7 linked regions of the Kluyveromyces lactis genome follow. The protein of the gene in region 1 interacts with the protein of each later gene in a pairwise test. Links are inferred from orthologs where the notes say so. Each region holds a gene or a part of one and is shown in the gene's direction. Other genes may lie near its edges.

Region 1 (3,432 bases):
TCTACTACCTTACCTATGTCGTTGCTGCGTGTCGTGAATGTGTGTCGTGTGTCGTGTCGCGTGCTAACAAATTTTTTGTTTTGAGTGTAAGTGTATTGTGTTAAATTAACACAGTATATACTACTCAATCTCATCTATCTGTGTCCTAATTTGAAAATTATTCCATTTCATGAATGAAAAAAAATTGACGTTTATGAACCGTACAGCAGTGTGTGTGTTGTGAAAATTCATAATCGTCGATATTTGGAGTATATATATAACAAAAAGGAATGGAGTGCAGTAGGTGAACCGTGTTTCTTTCTTGGCGTTGAATTCTGAATCTTTCCCGCCTGTTCATTCGAGCACTCATTTATTTGTGAGGGACATTTTCAAAATGCTGCTAGAGAGAACATGTCAATAAAACATCAACTGAGCGGTTTTGTCCATTCCTTTTTCTCTCCCTCAAATCATTCCATCCATCTCCAATACCCAGTGAATGTATTTTTGATGCTTACTAAAGGGGGAAATAGAAAAAGGAACTTATGCTAGTTGATTGTATCACAATTCTTTCGCTTCTACTCTCATCAACTTACCCTCATGTATACTTTAGTGTGTGTGTATCATGAGAATGAATGAGGAACGAAAACAAGGAATCCCCGGTGATATATTTATATTACCAACCATCCCAAATATATTATGTATACGTATATACATCTCTTAATATGTGTTGAAAAGTGTGTCAAATTGACCCTGCCCATCTTTTCCTGTCTTTTGATGTTAGAACCTTTGTCGTTTTCTTACACGAGGTTGGTATGTCACGTGACAACTCCGTACATCACGACTATCTGGCAAAGAAATTTCAACCAAAAAAAAAAATTCGAATTTTTTGGATGGCCAAAAAAGAAGGATTTTAATCAAGATGGATATTATATGGGATTGAATAAAAGATTGGTTTGCATTCTACTTCAATTACACTGTTACATATATAAAACAATACGGTGCTCTTGGCTTCCGATATATTTTTCTGTCAAGCAATACAAAGAAACGAATCAGATTTTCATTTACTCAAGGGGAAACGCTATTTGTGATTGTTAGAGATTGATTTTGCGACTGATAATTTCTTCTTTAAATCCAACTTCTCTTTATTTTTGTTTGATTTGGAACCCATTTGCAAAAATATCTACTTGAAAAGACGGGACGATCAATTGTGATTGTGAGTTTGGTAGAAAGGAATTAGTTACAATCTTTTTTTTTACTTCTCTGAATTTTCTTTGGTTCGCGGCTAGCACGAAGGATCAGATAGCAGGTATCCGTTTTATTATTTTATAAGTGAAAGATGGACGGTGACACTTCCAGCAAGTTTGTTCCTGAATACAGGAGGACAAACTTCAAGAATAAGGGTAGATTCTCTGCTGATGAATTACGTCGTCGTAGAGACGTTCAACAAGTCGAGTTGAGAAAAGTCAAGAGGGATGAGGCATTAGCAAAAAGAAGAAATTTCAATGCGCCTGTTGGTAACGATTCTGATGATGAAAATGATGATGATGACGATCAGGACTCCTCTTTCTACAGACAATTACAACAGGAGTTGCCTGCTATGTTGGAACAAATCCATTCTAACGATCTACAACAACAGTTGGCTGTGACGGTCAAGTTTAGACAAGTCTTGTCTAGAGAACACAGACCACCTATCGATTTGGTTATCAGTACTGGCGTAGTGCCAACCTTGGTCCAATTCATGAGCGAAAATCAACCTGAGATGTTGCAATTGGAAGCTGCTTGGGCGTTGACGAACATTGCTTCTGGTACTTCTGAGCAGACTAGAGTCGTCGTAGATGCGGGTGCTGTGCCATTATTCATTCAATTATTATATTCAAACTCGGTTGAAGTGAAGGAACAAGCTATTTGGGCCTTGGGTAACGTTGCTGGTGATTCCACCGATTATAGAGACTACGTTTTGCAATGTGGTGCCATGCAACCAATTCTATATTTGTTCGAATTGAACAAGACTTCCTTGATTAGAACAGCTACGTGGACTTTATCTAACTTGTGTCGTGGTAAGAAACCTCAACCAGATTGGTCTATCGTGTCTCAAGCTTTGCCAACTTTGTCTAAGCTAATCTACTCCATGGATACTGAAACGTTAGTCGATGCTTGTTGGGCTATCTCATATCTTTCCGATGGCCCGGTTAATTCGATCCAAGCGGTAGTAGATGCTAGAATCCCAAAGAGACTTGTAGAACTACTATCCCACCAATCTACGTTAGTGCAAACCCCTGCTCTAAGAGCTGTAGGTAACATTGTCACAGGTAACGATTTGCAAACTCAGATCGTTATCAACTGTGGAGCCTTGGCAGCTCTAAGAAATCTATTGGCTTCTCCAAAGGAATCCATAAGAAAGGAAGCTTGTTGGACCATCTCTAATATAACCGCTGGTAATACGGAACAGATTCAAGCCGTTATTGATGCTAACTTAATTCCACCATTAATCAGATTGTTGGAAACTGCAGAATATAAGACAAAGAAAGAAGCATGTTGGGCCATCTCGAATGCCTCTTCTGGTGGGTTACACAAGCCAGAAATTATCAGATATTTGGTCAGTCAAGGCTGTATAAAACCATTGTGCGATCTATTAGAGATTGCTGATAACAGAATCATAGAGGTTACACTAGATGCTATAGAAAATATTTTGAAGATGGGTGAAATGGATAGAGAAGTCAGAGGTATTGCCGTGAACGAAAATGCTGATTTCATTGAGAAAGCTGGTGGTATGGAAAAGATCTTCAATTTACAGTCTAATGCTAACGAAAAAATTTACGAAAAGGCCTTCAAGATCATTGAAAAGTACTTTAGTGATGAAGATGATGTTGTTGATGAATCTATGGCTCCACAAACAGCTGGTAACACTTTTGGATTTGGATCAAATGTCAACCAGCAATTCAACTTCAATTAAAACCAACTCTAGCTGTGCGTGTGTCATGTAATTACATTTGCTTTTTTTATTCTAGACAATAAATGAATACTACGCGCCTGTTAAATATCATATAATTTTTGCATTAATGTAATCTATCTATAGTATTATTAATCTACACTTCTCCCTTCATTGTGAAACAGAATTCTATGTCATTAAAGGGCCCAAGTCTTATTTGCAGTTTTGAACCACGATAAAAGTAAAAACTGTGCTCAAAAAACAGTATCATGGACCTTCTCTCTGTCATAGAAATTAGGTGACCAGTTAGGTGCATATCACTTTCGGTGTTACCTCTACATGTTCCGATGCATAATATCAACATTTAAAGGTTTGGATTTTTGTAAACCTTTAAAAATACACAATCGAAATTTCCTCGGTGAAACATCGCCTATAATCACACGAAAAGGAAATATCCAATGCATATGTGCTACTTCAAAGCTCGGAGTTGAATATTACGCTGATGCGATAATATGAGTTCAATG
Region 2 (2,955 bases), on another chromosome or scaffold:
CTGATATGCCTCACTGTTTTAATATTTTTTAGACTTTATTGTTGACGAATGATATTATGGGTATGCGCTGAGGTCAAAAAAACAATGCAATACAATGAACGACATCGTAAAAAAGACCCCTTTGGTAAGTATTCTAAGGAAGAGAACCAACCGCCCAAAGCCGGTGACACTTCACAATCTCTCAAATATTAGAATTTCAAGTCACAGGCTTATGCATTTTAACTGGCAAAGTATTGTCTTCACTTAAATAACCAAAACGTGATTTATTTCTAGTTGGATGTCGAAACAGCCAACCCAAAATGTCTCAAACCGTTGGACACTCTATTGTGAATCAATGCGTGCCTTTCCCACCTAGAGTACCAAAAAATAAAAGTAATTCTTGATTCATAGAAGTTGGCATGTCAGTGCCAATTCTAAGGATAGGATAACCGAATTTGATCTGGTGGATAGTTCCAATCGCCTTTCACGTATCTATGTACTGAAAATGAAGGAAGAAAGGCTACCACATCTTAACACGAAATAAATTCAAACAACTCTTTCAATGGACCGGAAATGTAGATTTCAATTCAGAAATCTTGTACTACTGCGTCATCTATCTTGGGCTACCTGTATCTCTTTCCAACCAAGTTTACTTTTTGCACCCTAAACTGACGTTTTTTCGCCAACGATGAGCTAAAAACCTTCGTTTTCGGTTCATACCTCAAATTGCAAATAATGGCAGCCAATGAGGTCTTCTATCGACAAACGCCAGACCATACACACAGGTATATGTTAATTTACGATGCTCTCGTCAGCAATTATGTCCCTTAAGGAAATTGTGTGGGATGCAGGTAATGTTGGAAAAGAACAAAAAAAAAACTGTCGCCTGTTCTAAGAGTTACTCTGGAAAACAGTATTTTTTTTATATGCAGCGATAGAAAGGGTAGAAATTCAACTAAAGGCCAAGAGTTAATACTCACAAAAAGGACAAAATCTACTGAGCGATCAACTGATGTGTTAAAGAGAACGTTTGGGGGCATTTTTCTTTTGGAAACGAACGATTATCTTTCCCGTTTACTCTCGATTTGGTAATCAGCCAATTTTCATGGAACCTTGGCGGATATCTCTATCACTGTTAACAAGATATTCCTAACTGACGCTTATTCGTATAATAACGGAGTAAGGGTACAGACATTAAGGAAATTAGTTTTAACAGTAAAAAAAAAAAAGGCAAAGTAATATGGTATGGAATGCTAACAGGTTCATGTCCAACCAACGTTGTGGGTGACGATAAGCCTCGTGAAACCACGGTCTTTGTTCGAAGTTTAAGAGGCAGTGAGCATTCTAGTTAGAGAACTAAAATTATAAAAAGGCCCACTCTTTCAACCTTTTCCCTTTTAACCTTCTGGTATTATATTTGTGTTATATCAATGATTCTCGCTGTAGAACAGTAGCAGCTAAATTCAAAGGATACTTTACAAGTAGCAACAACAGAACAAAAATGTCTACCACCCAAACTCAAACTCAAAACAAACTATCAGTCCAATCTCAAAGTGTCGAACACTGTTTGTCTGATGTTGTCAAACAAGACGACTGGTCAGACTTTGCATTTGCTCCAATTAGGGAAGCAACTGTTTCTCGTGCAATGACCTCTCGTTATTTCAAAGATTTGGACAAGTTCGCCGTATCCGATGTTGTTATCATTGGTGCAGGTTCAAGTGGTCTATCTGCTGCATACGTCATTGCTAAGAACAGACCTGACTTGAAAATTGCCATTATTGAAGCCAACGTTGCTCCAGGTGGTGGATGTTGGTTAGGAGGTCAATTGTTCTCTGCCATGATCATGCGTAAACCAGCAGACAAATTCTTGGACGAATTGAACATTCCATATGAAGATGAGGGTCATTACGTTGTTGTTAAACACGCTGCTTTGTTCATGTCTACTGTATTGAGTGAAGTATTGAAGTTCCCTAACGTGAAGATGTTCAATGCTACTGCAGTTGAAGATCTTGTCACCAGACCAGCCGATGATAATTCTCAGCACGTCAACGTCGCTGGTGTTGTTACTAACTGGACTCTAGTCACTCAAAATCACGACACCCAATCTTGTATGGATCCAAACGTCATCGAATTGTCTGGTTACAAGGATAATGGCGAAAGGGATTTATCACAGAAGCATGGTGTTATCTTGTCTTGTTGTGGTCACGATGGTCCATTTGGTGCTTTCACTGTTAAACGTATGGCTTCCATCGATTCCTCTAAGTCCTACGCTGGTATGAAGGGTTTGGACATGAACAGAGCTGAAGACGCTGTTGTTAAGAACGCTGGTGCATACGATAAGGTTGGTTCAGTTTACTTTGCTGGTATGGAAGTTGCTGAACATGCTGGTTTGAATAGAATGGGTCCAACTTTCGGTGCTATGGCTGTTAGTGGTATCAAGGCTGCTGAAGATATCTTGAAGCACTTTGCTGCTTGATTGAATCAAGGGGATTTTTACCTCAATTTTTTACTTAGTGTCTAGTTTTATATAGCTTTTTATCGACACACTTTATGACTGCTAATGGCCTCTGAACATTTCTTCCATGAAATCACAAGGAAATGTTTAATAAATACTTCAGCATACCAATTGGGGAGCTATCAATTTTGCTGTTTCGAAGGGAATTTTTCAGACTTCTAAAGATTTTGTCGCATAATAATCAGCCAGCTACAAGTTTAATGTACCGAGTCACTCCATGGTACCTTCTATGAACAAAAACACAAAAAGCAGACGTTACTATACCGATCAGTTATTAAAAATATATCTTATACAAAGAGGAACGAATGCATAAAACCTTACTAAATAAAGTGCTTTTCATGTCAGTACTTTCCCTCAACAAGCATTTTAGTTCCGGCAGAAATATTTTGTTGAAAACTTCTACTGCATAGTAGACCGTATTGTTAATTAGTGATGAAACGAAAAAGTATCTGAGTGTTGTC
Region 3 (2,886 bases), on another chromosome or scaffold:
TCGTGGTTGAACGGTGGTTTAGAATGAACATATGATGCTTGGTTCGTTTGGGAATTCTGCCCATTGCTGTTGTTATTTTTTTTCTTGTTACTGCGTGAGTCCTGCGAAGAGATACTACTTCTACTGGTATTTTCACTTGTTACTGGAGTAGGAATGGCTGAAGCAGAAGTGGGAGAAGCGGTCGTATATGCCATACTTTTTTTTTTCAACGCAGAGCTTTCACTTCCCCAAGCACCAAGTTTCTTACTTTGCCAAGCATTAGCCATTGTTAAGCAGTGTATAGGAAAACCGGATGGATAATTCTATTTATTCCCAACGGAAAAGTACGTTACCAGACGGCGAAAGAGAGATCCTATGGAAATACAATCGTGTACACAAGGAACGATTTGATGGAGCTTACTTCCGCTCTACCTTGACGATTGTTACAACTGATCAAAGGAATATGCCGAAATCGCTTCTTCATGTTAGATTTTCTTATTGCAGTAGACCAGAACACGTGACCCGAATTTTTGGACGGATCTCAGTTACTTTTCACGAGATATCCGGGTAATATCACGGTATTTAAATCTACTTGTCAAACACCCATCAACCACACATACATAAATTCTCCCGGTCGCCCCTCTGGTTCCCCCCCACTACCGATACAGCACTGGCAGAAATTGGAAAACCAAAGACGAAAACATGTTCCCGGAGCTCCAATGAACCCACACATCACGATATATGACCCCAGATTCATTTAATTTGAAGATCAATAAAACCTTTTTTTTTATTTTCCCTCTCAGTGTTATGAGCAAAATCACCTTAAATCGCTACAGAAAACACATAATCAAATAGTACTTGCAAATCATGTTCTGTTTCAAGTGACTAGGAAATGCCTTAGCACACTACGTGCCATACTGCGTCCATAGCGAGCTTTTCTCATTCTGTTTTTCTTTTGTTTCCTTCGCGCCAGAAATGGTGCGGTTCTTGCGATTTTTCAAAGCTAGAAGAAATTCAGAGACCAGATAATCGATATCAGACAGAGTAATGAACTGGCTTCGTTGGTTTCTTCGGGGGTAGAATTTTCCGAATTAATCCGTTGCGTTGTCCGCTACTTGCGTATGGATGTAAGTCGTGTATATTGTCTGTTTGATCCTTATTTTAGTGTATATAAATTGGATTCAAACCAGTTTTATGATTTCGATCCTCTTCAGCACTTTATGACTTATTATTGGATTCGAGCATTAGTTTCAAATTAAAGGCATAATCAAGTAGAAAGAAGACTATTCAATTCATTTCCCTTCCGAAGCTTCGCATATCCCGATTAAATAATTAATAAATGGCTGGTATTAAACACAGAAGAGACTCAGCTGAGTCTATCAATACCGACATCATCACGTTGTCCCGTTTTATCTTGGACCAACAGCATCTTTCTGCGAAAAATGCCACTGGGGAGTTTTCTATGCTTTTGAACTCTTTGCAGTTTGCATTTAAATTTATTTCTCAAACAATTAGACGTGCTGAATTGGTTAACTTGATCGGATTGGCTGGTGCTTCAAATAGTACCGGTGACCAGCAAAAGAAGTTGGATGTGTTGGGTGATGAAATCTTCATCAATGCTATGAAAGCGTCTGGTAACGTCAAGGTACTTGTGTCTGAAGAACAAGAAGATTTGATCGTTTTCCGTAACAGCCCTGGTAAATACGCGGTATGTTGTGACCCAATTGATGGTTCGTCTAACTTGGATGCTGGTGTCTCAGTGGGTACCATTGTCTCTCTGTTCAAGATTCATGAGAATCAGAATGGTAACTCTGGGGAAGAAGATAGTGAGGGTACCATCAACGATGTTGCTCGTTGCGGTAGAGAAATGGTTGCTGCTTGTTACACTATGTACGGTGCGTCCACGCATTTGGTTTTAACTACCGGTGCAGGTGTCAATGGGTTCACTTTGGACAATAACTTGGGTGAATTTATCTTGACTTACCCAGAATTGAGACTACCTGAGCAAAAATCTATTTACTCCATCAATGAGGGGAACACCTGCTATTGGGAACCAACTATCGCTGATTTCATTGCCAAGTTGAAGGAAAACAGCGAAGAAAATAACGGTAAGCCTTACTCTGCTCGTTACATCGGTTCAATGGTCGCTGACGTACACAGAACTTTACTATATGGTGGTTTATTCTCTTACCCAGGTGATAAGAAAAATCCTAACGGGAAGTTAAGATTGTTATATGAAGCATTCCCAATGGCTTTCCTTGTTGAACAAGCTGGTGGTAAAGCCGTTAATGATAGAGGTGAACGTATCTTGGATTTGGTCCCTCAACATATTCACGACAAAAGCAGTATCTGGTTAGGTAGCTCTGGAGACGTTGATAAATATTTAAAGCATATCGGTAAGTTGTAAATACGTATACGAACCTCCCATCAACAGAAGAAAATTAAGTAACATAATAATTCATGAAATACCACATTAAAAATAAATTAATAACCGACCTTGAATAACTATTTCACGATTCCAGTATTTACATTTATCATACATTCTCTTGTATTATAGAAAGTACTGTTAAATATAAAAAGTAAGAATCTCTTATTTATATTCTCTAAATAACTTCTTTGAGTAAACTACTACGTTCAGTGGGTTCTGGATTGGTCACAACAGTCCCATTAGAGTGAATAGAAGAACGGTCCAGGTCAACTATTTCCTCTTCGTAATCATCTGCAGTCAAACGATGCTGATCTTCAAAACGTCTGGCAGAGTTATACGCGATCACATCTGCAGGTAAAACGGTATCCACGATGGCTTCGGAGTATCCAATATTTTTCAGCTCGTCGTTCATCAACTTGTGAACACGGTTACATAGATCACCTACGTCTTCTTTCTTCAAATTTTCCGTGCTAATTGGC
Region 4 (2,543 bases), on another chromosome or scaffold:
AGTTTAGGATCGGGATTCGTCCACATTGCAGCCGTCGTGCTATAGGGTTTCCTCATTTTAGGTGCATCTGCCAAATAAATCACGTATATATAAAAGATCAAGATATATAAGGGACATATATTTAGTCAAAGAAAAGTGTATGGAGAACGGGATCGGGATCAGTAAAGAACAGAGATCAGAGAACCAGTCACTTTGAGAATACTTCAATGAAATCAGAATCAGATATACAGCCAGATGAGCATCTTCCGTCGTATGATGAAGTGCTGAGACAAGATACTGCTGCTGCTTCGCAGCAGCAGCAGCAGCTCCCACCAAACCCTCCACCACGTCCAACACAACCACCAGCAAGACCGCCCCGGCCAAGCAATGCCATACCAGCGTACCATCATTCCACTAGTACCTTTTCAAGCAGTACCAGTACCAGTACTGGCAATAAGAAACTACCCTGGACGTACCCTCCAGGATATTATTGTAAAAAATGCGGGAACACTGGCACCAAGATCAAGACTCAACAAAAATGTAAGAAATGTTGGTCGAAATTCTACAAACCCCCACCTGCACAACCACCACGTCCAAGTGCAGGGCCAAGACCTGCGTTCGTATACTCTAATGTCACGATGCCACCACAGAATTTCGTCATAAACTCAGCACCTATCGTTGTGCGTCCCGGTGACAGTCGCATAGGAGGCATGATGTGTAACAATTGCAATGGGACTGGTAGGGTACGATTCTTCTTGGATAAAGAACCGTGTCCCGTATGCTACGGTCTTGGCAGGATTCTTACTGGACCAACCTACTAGTTTGATCATCTGATTCGCCCAAACTCTACACTGTTTAAGTAAAATTGTACATAATTAATTTCTATTCATTTCATGTTTGTCCATTAACAACATTCAATAGCAGGGTACTGGCTGAGGTAGCACATGATAGAGTAACTAGTCATGTCTAATTGCTGCTTCTCATGGTACGGTGTTTCCACAGTTTTACTTTTTTTCCTTGTATGACAAAAAGTGAAAAATTTCGATGAGTTCGAGTTATAGGAAACAAGAGGTATAAAGCGTACCATATGCATTTGTTCCATTGTAAAGTTTTCGATTTTGGGTTGGCTCTTTCAAGCTTTAACTGATTGGATAATTCAGTGAAAGTTTGTCGTTTTGTGTGTTAGTTTGTGCGTACGTGTCTCCTTCTGTCGGCTTCTCTCAACAAGTCCCGTTGTCTGACCAGTATCACATATTTATAGGGTCTTTCTTTTGCATGGATTAGTAACCCATATCAGGTAACCCATACAGCTAGCTATATTCAATAATGGAAAACAAACATATCTCGCACGTCTCTCAGATTGAAAGACGTGCTACTCCTTTGAACATTCGTCCAGCTTCGCCTTATACCTTAAATCCTACTGTGGAAAAAGACGGTTTATCATGGCCTAGTATTGGTGCTCGTGAAAGAGCAGAGGAAACGGATGAAGAAGAACAAAAACGGGTTGGTCGTATTGCAGATGCGGTTAAGACTATTTTGAGTGAGCTCGGTGAGGATACCGAACGTGAGGGTTTACTGGATACCCCTACACGGTACGCTAAAGCGATGTTGTATTTCACTAAAGGCTATCAGGATAATATCATGAACGATGTGATTAAGAATGCTGTGTTCGAGGAAGATCATGACGAGATGGTTATTGTTCGTGACATTGAGATCTTCTCTTTGTGCGAGCATCATTTGGTGCCATTTTTCGGTAAAGTTCATATTGGATACATTCCTAATAAGAAGGTGTTGGGTTTATCGAAATTGGCTCGTTTAGCAGAGATGTACGCTAGACGTTTCCAAGTACAAGAACGTTTAACGAAGCAAATTGCTATGGCTTTGAGTGATATCTTGAAACCTAGAGGTGTCGCTGTGGTCATCGAGGCTACTCATATGTGTATGGTGTCTCGTGGTGTCCAAAAAACTGGTTCTTCCACTGTCACTTCTTGTATGTTGGGATACTTGCGAGAATCACACAAGACAAGAGAAGAATTCTTAAACCTTTTGGGCAGAAGGTACTGATGATTCATCATTAGACCTGGTTTTAAGCTACCTTTAAAAATTTTTTTTTGACTTTGATTATCTACAAGCATAAGAGATACAATACGATACCGGTTTTTTAATTGTTTCAACAGCAAGAGGAATGGAAAGATAATAGAACATCCAATAATAATTACTACTCGCATTATAAGGTACCAGCTTTTCAAGTTATACGCATACTTGTGCAAGGCACAGGCACGAGCAAAACTTTTCCTCATCACACACCTTATAGAGATTCATTTCAATTTTTTTTTTACTCAGTTTACATGCATTCAACTTCATGAAACATCAATTACCAATTTAATTTGTTTCCATCAAGAGCTTTCAACGCTCGTTACACCTTGTTTTATTTCGTACTCTCCTCTTGAACCGGAAAAAATATCTGTAAGATTACTGCCAGCCCAGTATTGCTTCAACTTCTATATTTAATTCTAATTTTAACGCCTATATGTATAAAGATAATAATATTGAGATTGTTATAC
Region 5 (2,313 bases), about 820 kb from region 1:
AGTTTCTTTTAGTTCCGTCCAAACAGTCTCTATCAAAAACTTGACTGTCTCTACGTATCTCAATGAGCCACTAGAAGAAATTTCCAAATGGAAATCAAAATCGCCTGCGAGTTGTCTTGAAAGTGTCCAAAGTTCATCATTTTCACCTATTATACTCTTCAAAATTTTATCTCTCAGCCTATGCAACTTAAACTTTTTGTTTATTCGAGAGAGCCTGTTATCCTTAAGCTCATCATTATAATAATCAATCGTTGGGATATCGATGTAAAGATATACGTTAAAGTTGCTCATGATCGGCGTCAACCGATCACAATATGAGATGAGATACAAAGAATCGACATTCTGTACTCGAACCTTTGAAGGTTCATGAACCTGCTGGTTCCATAACCGTGATGTTATATTAGTGGAGGAATCCATTTATTATAGTAATCCGTTGGAGATGTATTTGCATAAAATCAAGGATGCCTCAATAATCGGATTATGAATGGGTGTAGTTGAATCATAAGAAGAGAAAGACGCAGACTTACAGGATCTGATTTGCAGCTCAGAACCAGTAGAATAAAAGCAATAGTGATATGTAACAAATTCTCAAACTAGGAAACCTAATCTGCTTATTAATTTTGACCTTTAACCAGCGATAATTGAAGTTGCACCAGTAAATGAGTCAAATCAAACCAAACAAAAAAGTATACTAATTCGAAGACAACGTGAATAAGAAAACAAGGAAACCACAAGGTCCTTCAGCAAAGTTAGCAGCGATAAAGGTACTCTCCTTTGCGTTAAAATAGGAAAAAAAAAATAATGCAGTGGTGTCAAGTAAGGCGAAATCAGCTTCTCGTTCTCCTCTTTCCACAACTGCTGTTTTATGTTCAAGCTTTCACCTTTTCTCGTTCCTGACTTATACCTAGTTTCAGTTTTTTTTTTCTTTCTTCTTTCTTTCTTCTTCCGCTTTAGTTTGAGCGCTGACACTTCAGGTCACGTGACGAGAATTTTTGGACCCTCGTACATGTTTAGCATGACACAAAACGTGATAGGACTTAAGGAAGAGCATCGTACTATACCCCTGCGAGCATCTAATATGGCGGGAAAACTGTATCAGTAGACAAACGGGAACTGTTAGCTTTACTATATTTACATACATATAGTTCATATGTGCTTTGCGATCAACGGTAATTTTTTGTAAGTAAAAGCAGCCAAGACGAAATCAAGCAGATAGTGACATATTTCATTATATAAAATCTCGATATGATAACGATGTATTTCTCACACAAGAAGATATCAGCCATCGTTGTATAAAGAAACCAAGAGGCGAGCGTATAATACACGCTGGACCCAGTTCGCTACTGAATACGCATCATTGCAGTATAAAATGGAGATCAAGAGCAAACTGGACGGTATTGAACCTACACAGGTAGATAGAGCCATTTTAGAGAGTCAAAAAGCAAAAAGTGGTTCCTATAGTCCATATTCAAAATTTAGGGTCGGATGTTGCATACTGACAAAAGATGGTACTTATATCACAGGAAGCAATGTGGAGAATGCTACGTATGGAGCCACCATATGTGCAGAAAGAGCTGCTATCGTGAAAGCTGTCACAAGCTCCCACAGAGCAGATTGGGTTTGTGTCGCTATCAACAGCGATATGAGAGATAATTACATTCCGCCATGTGGAATCTGTCGGCAAACGATCAGAGAGTTTGGAAAAGAAGATCTGCCAATAATAATGACAAACTGCGACACCTCTGTCAAAAAAATTATGACCCTCAATGAACTATTGCCAGAAAGCTTCGGCCCAGATCACTTTCATAGGTGAGCTAAGATTCGACTCTTTTTTGTGCAAGATTTGAACTTTTCCATAGTAAGAAACGAAATCAAAAATCAAGAAAGTTCTATATAGTAATTATTCATTAGCGTTTTGAGAGAAAGTTAAGAAAACATGCCTTTGGAAAACACCTTCTCATAAGCTAGCTACTTAGGATCAGAAGTAACCGCCAGTTAATCAAAATTTTCTAAGCACTATTCTCTCAATCGCCCTAAACCGAGGTTGTTCCTAAGATATTTAGAAATGTGTCATAGATAATGCGGAGTCTTCGCACTGTAGAATTAAAAGAAAAGTATGACATTTAAACTCATCTGACTTTTCAAATAAAATTTTTTGTTTCGACCTTTAATAAAGAACATGAGAACGAGATGCGATGAGAGAAGCTCAGATACAGCTCTTTCTACTCCTCTCTCTCACTTATTTATACCAAACGTATTCCAAGTGATATAGAAGGTGTTTCTGAACTGCACTTACTGACATAGCAGCTGTAA
Region 6 (2,286 bases), on another chromosome or scaffold:
CCTTTTCTACAAATTTTCATACATAGTGTATCATGAATCATTGATGAATATTTCATTTCTCTCCTTTTATGGCTTTATTATACTGATAATAGTAATTCCGTTCGTTCGCACCTTTCTCAATCTTGAAATACAATATCATAATACTGTCACAATCACTGATTTCTTTTTCTCATTTTTACTTCCTTTTTACACTAGGCCAATACAATTTTCAACTACTTGTTTTTCGACATACGTTTTCTAATCTTTATAACAATTCAACCATATCTCATCTCATAAATGTCTGAAATACTTTGGTATTCATGTCTATCAGTTTGTTTGTTTTCTTGTCGTCTATACCGTATATGTCATTGTATTACGTATCCAATGTGTGGTAAACAGGTACTGCTGCTAATTCTATCTTGATAGTTTACTGCCTCTACAGTGGTATATATTGTGACGGATTAGTTATCAGTATCATATATCACGGTCCGCTCGTTAATGTCGATCTTCATTATTTTCAGTTGTTGGGTTGTTGGCAAAAGCAAAAAATTTCAAAAATACTCCGATACGGGGAGTCGAACCCCGGTCTCCACGGTGAAAGCGTGATGTGATAGCCGTTACACTATATCGGATAGTAACCATACAAAATAGAAATCAACATTAGTTTTTATTATGGAAACAGTATCACTTGAAACCTTCTCTTCAGATATTGTTAGTATGTAGCTGAATCTCTTGGAAATACTTGTGTAGTCAATTTTAACAATCAGCACCTATTTAACAGGGATCTTATTCTTCTTGGTGGCATGGGGGTGTGTTATGAATTCTAAAATGGTATCTTCCCACATTTCCCTTATGGCTATTGAGAATCATTTCTGTCAAAGTAGAGTGCATAACAATATTTTTCCAGAGAAACCACTGGATAGTCTCAAATTTAATTAATTGAAAGTTACTTATTATTCTTTCTCAGCAGTCAAGAGCTTCGATGCAGTGTCCACCCGATTTGTTTATTTGATTTTTCACAACCTGTCACTGACACAAAGTATTCAGTACTTATAATATGGCTTATATGGAAAAAAAAAAAAAACTTGAAAGATTCATTCAACTTTAAATTTGGGATTGAAATGATTAAGTAAAATCTATAGGTTCATAAGACACCATAGCTCCAGATAAACTCCAAATACCCCAAACTAGCATCAGTCAAGCAAATACCATGTCTCTAGCGGAGTTTGATGAGATTAAGTACGATCACAGTTGTGATAGGTTAGATAAGCCCTCTCGTTATTTGATCCGTAAGGCTAGACGTGACCCAGATTCTGGATTGCAACAGTTGAGAAAATCTATGAAATCCTGTACAGTTTATGTGGGTAATCTATCGTTTTACACAAGTGAAGAGCAAATATATGAGCTATTCTCCAAATGTGGCACCATAAAAAAGATTATCATGGGTCTAGATAGGTTCAAGTTTACGCCGTGTGGATTTTGTTTTATTATATTCGATAAGATGGAAGACGCATTGAATTCTATAAAATACTTGGGTGACACGAAGTTAGATGACCGTCATATAACCATTGACTTGGATCCTGGGTTCGAAGAGGGAAGACAGTTCGGTAGAGGTAAGAATGGTGGTCAAGTTAGTGATGAGATGAGATTCGAATTCGATGCGTCCAGAGGTGGGTTCTACACTCCACTTGAGAATAGAATTGGAACAAATGCCAACTTCGGGGCCAGAAGAGTTAAAAACATTCCAATACAGCAAGAGGATGAAGAATATGAAGAAGATGAAGATGCTTACATTCCAGGCCAATAAAAACAGTACAATCATAAGGTCGTTTATCGATGTGTATATATCACATTTCAATCTAAGTACCTATTTCACTAAGTTAATTGATTTAAAAGAATAATACTGTGGTAAGAAGTATTTTATTTGAATATATAGCTAGTTCATATTAGAGCTAAAGATATCTCGATATAATAAAAAATTTTGCCGCTTTAATCCATCAATAGGAGTTGGGTGAAATGAATGGATGGTAGATAAAAGAGCAGACAAACACTAATAAACTAATAAATGAAAGAAAGTTAAAGCTGTGCCTTATAATGAGCTCGTGACAGCTGGAATTGAAGATTGACCGTAGACAAAACAAAAAAAATTAAGAATATAAAGAATTAGGAGAAAGAAAAGACCACCTTAATATGAAGGGGTAAAATCTTCTTCTCATGCATGCTAAACGATAACCGAAAAAGTGTAGATTTATGATATGCATTACGACAAATGTCACGATGGTTGTCGACGATGAGAAGGTGGGGGCA
Region 7 (2,974 bases), on another chromosome or scaffold:
TTGGGTTATGTTGAAATTTGTCAAGTTAGTAACGCTGAAGTTGATGAAAACATCGATCGCATCGTACTCTCTGAAGATTCTCAGCCTAAGACTATCGAAGATAACGTTACCAAAAACAACACTGCGGTAAAAGTTGGAGTCGTAGCGAATGAGTCTTTCGGCCATTCTCAATTACAATATCATACTAAATGGCTACCACTGAATAACCACTATCAGCGTGAATTAAATCCAGATGTTGTAGTACAAGCACCTCCTCCTGGTGTGATTGTATACAGACCAAGTGAATCATGGACATATGTTAACTGTTCTAGACAGTACGATACCATTTTCGACAGAGTAAAAGAACTGACAAGACCAGGAAAGCTTTTGAAACATGTAAGCAAACATGATAAGATGTGGAATGATCCAGGTGAGTGGGAACCTCCATTTTTAGTGAAAAAGCTATTTAAGTTGGGGAACAAACATGATCTTGAAGGTGGCGAAGTAATTGATGAGAGACCTGTTTTGAAGATCCTTGCTATGGACTGGTCCCAAGTGACTCAGATTGATTCCACGGGTGTTCAAAACTTGGTCGACTTAAGAAAGGCCATTAACAAATATGCTAATAGACAGGTAGAATTCCATTTCAGTGGAATCATCTCGCCTTGGATCAAGAGATCTTTAATCAATGCTGGATTCGGTACTGTCAATGAGGAATTCAGCGATGAATCAATCATCGTAGGACATACAAGTTATAGTTTGGTCAAGAATAGACCTGATTTGCAAGATCCAGAAGCGGCGTTACCTGAACCAATAGCACTTCATACCGCTTTAGGTGTAAACTTACCATTCTTCCATTTGGAAATGCCAGAATTTCATAAATGGCACCTATGAAAGGTGTAGCATTACTATTTCGCATACTTCTTCTTCTTCAGTATATATATTCATATATACTTAACTACTTCTAATTTAATTTACTGAGTAATGACGCGGTCAGGCACTACAATAAAATTGACACTATGCCATCAACTACAATATATTGAAATCGCGACGGAAATCACGTGTACATAACTCAAATTGTTTAGTCGATACGACGTTCCCCTTATTTATTCAAAGTCACAGAGAATGAATGTTGAGAATATTTTTATGATCAAGAGCACTCACCTATGGCAACAAAAAGCGGCCGGTTTCACTTCTGACTAATAGAATGCAAAATTCAGACTTTGATCCGTGGGTGTTATCAGTGGATTAGTTACTGGATTAATAATACAAAGAATCGTATAAATGGAAGACGTAGAGATAAACGAAAAAAGGTAAATAAATTCAGTAGAGACACCATCCAACTTCCATTCGGAAGTATATATAGGTAGCATTTCCATAAGTATTGTTTAAGTCCAACATTGAAACCCAATTAAAAAAGGTTCAGCAAATTCGAGAAGCAAAGACTGTAGAACATCAAGATGTCATTGTTGAAGCAAGTAAGATTAGGACGTTCAGGGTTGAAGATCTCACCCATTCTGATTGGTTGTATGAGTTATGGATCTAAAGATTGGGCTGCATGGGTTGAAGATGACAAGGAAAAGATCTTTTCTACTTTGAAATACTGTTACGATCATGGGTTACGTACATTTGACACGGCAGACTTCTACAGCAATGGATTAAGTGAGAAATTGGTCGGTGAATTCTTGAAGAAGTACAACATCCGTAGAGAGACCGTTGTAATCTTGACGAAAGTGTACTTCCCGGTTGATGAAGATCTCGAATTGAGCCACAGCAATGGATTTACGGAAAACGATCTTTTGGATTTGACAAACCAACAAGGTTTGTCTCGGAAGCATATCCTTGCTGGAGTTACTGCAAGTTGTAAAAGGTTGGATACGTGCATTGATGTGTTACAAATTCACAGACTTGATCGTGAGACACCAATGGAGGAAATCATGAGATCATTGAACCATGTCGTTGAATCGGGACAAGTTCGGTACATTGGCGCTTCAACAATGCTAGCTACGGAATTCGTTGAATTGCAATCTATTGCAGAAAGGTACGGCTGGCACAAGTTCATCAGTTCCCAGTCCTGCTACAACTTACTTTACAGGGAAGATGAAAGGGAACTTATTCCATATTTGAAGAGACATGGTGTCGGAATGATCCCATGGTCTCCAAATGCCAGAGGAATTCTTTGCAGGCCAGTAAGCCAACAATCGAATTCTAAACGGTATGAGACCGATGGTAGAATTAAGGGCAGACAATTGGATCAATTACAACCTCAGGAAACAGAAATCGTCAATAGAGTGGAAGACTTGGCCAAGAAGCATGGTGTCAGTATGGCCGTAGTATCATCGGCATGGGTCCTAGCCAAAGGTGGTTATCCCATTGTCGGTCTAAGTTCCATTGACCGTGTGAAAGAAATTATCTCCGCTACCGAATTGAAACTCTCCGAAGAAGAAATACAGTACTTGGAACAACCGTACCTACCAAAACCGCTTATCTTGTAAATCATACGTGGAATACAATAGATAGGGTAAATAAGTACATGAATACATGAATAGAGGTATCACGTAGATCAGGTGTTCACTACGCTGGTATCGGTCATTTTATTTTAGCACCGATAGAAATCTGGAAGTCCCCAGTCACTATAGTGAATACTAAAAGAAAAAAAAAAGAATCATCAGACTCGAGAAAACTGCACGGCTGGTCCTCTGAGCGAATAAGTTCCCAAGAAATGTGCACCAGGGAGTCGGACAACAGTATTGTAAAAATGAAGAGATGCTGCTGAATAGTAGAAGCATCTACCAGCATCTACAAGTGTCTACAAGTGCCTTCAATGTAGAATCTTATGATTATCCTAAGTACATCCGATATACTTTATACTTCCGTTGTAGAAAAGAACAGAGAACCCTGAACAAGGAATCACGGGGGAAACAGGCACAACATACTTGATGGTTCCGTTTCCGAATGAAAGCAACCCCCCATAGGAACCTGATATCCCCACCTC

What was found.
Region 2: the proteins of SRP1 (region 1) and THI4 interact in a two-hybrid assay, tested with the Saccharomyces cerevisiae proteins (2 studies listed by BioGRID). The link is inferred for Kluyveromyces lactis from reciprocal best matches to the Saccharomyces cerevisiae genes SRP1 and THI4.
Region 3: the proteins of SRP1 (region 1) and FBP1 interact in a two-hybrid assay, tested with the Saccharomyces cerevisiae proteins (2 studies listed by BioGRID). The link is inferred for Kluyveromyces lactis from reciprocal best matches to the Saccharomyces cerevisiae genes SRP1 and FBP1.
Region 4: the proteins of SRP1 (region 1) and FOL2 interact in a two-hybrid assay, tested with the Saccharomyces cerevisiae proteins (2 studies listed by BioGRID). The link is inferred for Kluyveromyces lactis from reciprocal best matches to the Saccharomyces cerevisiae genes SRP1 and FOL2.
Region 5: the proteins of SRP1 (region 1) and CDD1 interact in a two-hybrid assay, tested with the Saccharomyces cerevisiae proteins (2 studies listed by BioGRID). The link is inferred for Kluyveromyces lactis from reciprocal best matches to the Saccharomyces cerevisiae genes SRP1 and CDD1.
Region 6: the proteins of SRP1 (region 1) and CBC2 interact in binary tests that used the Saccharomyces cerevisiae proteins (3 or more experiments, as listed by UniProt). The link is inferred for Kluyveromyces lactis from reciprocal best matches to the Saccharomyces cerevisiae genes SRP1 and CBC2.
Region 7: the proteins of SRP1 (region 1) and KLLA0_F19360g interact in a two-hybrid assay, tested with the Saccharomyces cerevisiae proteins (2 studies listed by BioGRID). The link is inferred for Kluyveromyces lactis from reciprocal best matches to the Saccharomyces cerevisiae genes SRP1 and YPL088W.

Annotation. Positions count from the first base shown.
Region 1 is NC_006040.1:729,689-733,120, reverse strand, and holds SRP1 (karyopherin alpha), read left to right. Parts: upstream 1-1,315; coding exon 1,316-2,932; downstream 2,933-3,432. Other genes in the region: KAR1 (Kar1p), read left to right, coding at 3,421-3,432. UniProt on the Saccharomyces cerevisiae protein: Functions in nuclear protein import as an adapter protein for importin beta nuclear receptors. Binds specifically and directly to substrates containing either a simple or bipartite NLS motif. Promotes docking of import substrates to the nuclear envelope.
Region 2 is NC_006037.1:13,737-16,691, reverse strand, and holds THI4 (thiamine thiazole synthase), read left to right. Parts: upstream 1-1,480; coding exon 1,481-2,455; downstream 2,456-2,955.
Region 3 is NC_006041.1:124,962-127,847, forward strand, and holds FBP1 (fructose 1,6-bisphosphate 1-phosphatase), read left to right. Parts: upstream 1-1,318; coding exon 1,319-2,386; downstream 2,387-2,886. Other genes in the region: PBP4 (Pbp4p), read right to left, coding at 1-266; 1-acylglycerol-3-phosphate O-acyltransferase SLC1, read right to left, coding at 2,583-2,886.
Region 4 is NC_006037.1:853,663-856,205, reverse strand, and holds FOL2 (GTP cyclohydrolase I), read left to right. Parts: upstream 1-1,305; coding exon 1,306-2,043; downstream 2,044-2,543. Other genes in the region: KLLA0_A09757g (uncharacterized protein), read left to right, coding at 207-800. UniProt on the Saccharomyces cerevisiae protein: GTP cyclohydrolase 1 is the first enzyme in the biosynthetic pathway leading to folic acid.
Region 5 is NC_006040.1:1,552,616-1,554,928, forward strand, and holds CDD1 (cytidine deaminase), read left to right. Parts: upstream 1-1,369; coding exon 1,370-1,813; downstream 1,814-2,313. Other genes in the region: SND1 (Snd1p), read right to left, coding at 1-417. UniProt on the Saccharomyces cerevisiae protein: This enzyme scavenges exogenous and endogenous cytidine and 2'-deoxycytidine for UMP synthesis.
Region 6 is NC_006038.1:914,012-916,297, reverse strand, and holds CBC2 (nuclear cap-binding protein subunit CBC2), read left to right. Parts: upstream 1-1,189; coding exon 1,190-1,786; downstream 1,787-2,286. Other genes in the region: KLLA0_B10450g (homeobox domain-containing protein), read right to left, coding at 2,252-2,286.
Region 7 is NC_006042.1:1,791,339-1,794,312, forward strand, and holds KLLA0_F19360g (aldo-keto reductase superfamily protein), read left to right. Parts: upstream 1-1,439; coding exon 1,440-2,474; downstream 2,475-2,974. Other genes in the region: SUL2 (sulfate permease), read left to right, coding at 1-873. UniProt on the Saccharomyces cerevisiae protein: Putative aryl-alcohol dehydrogenase.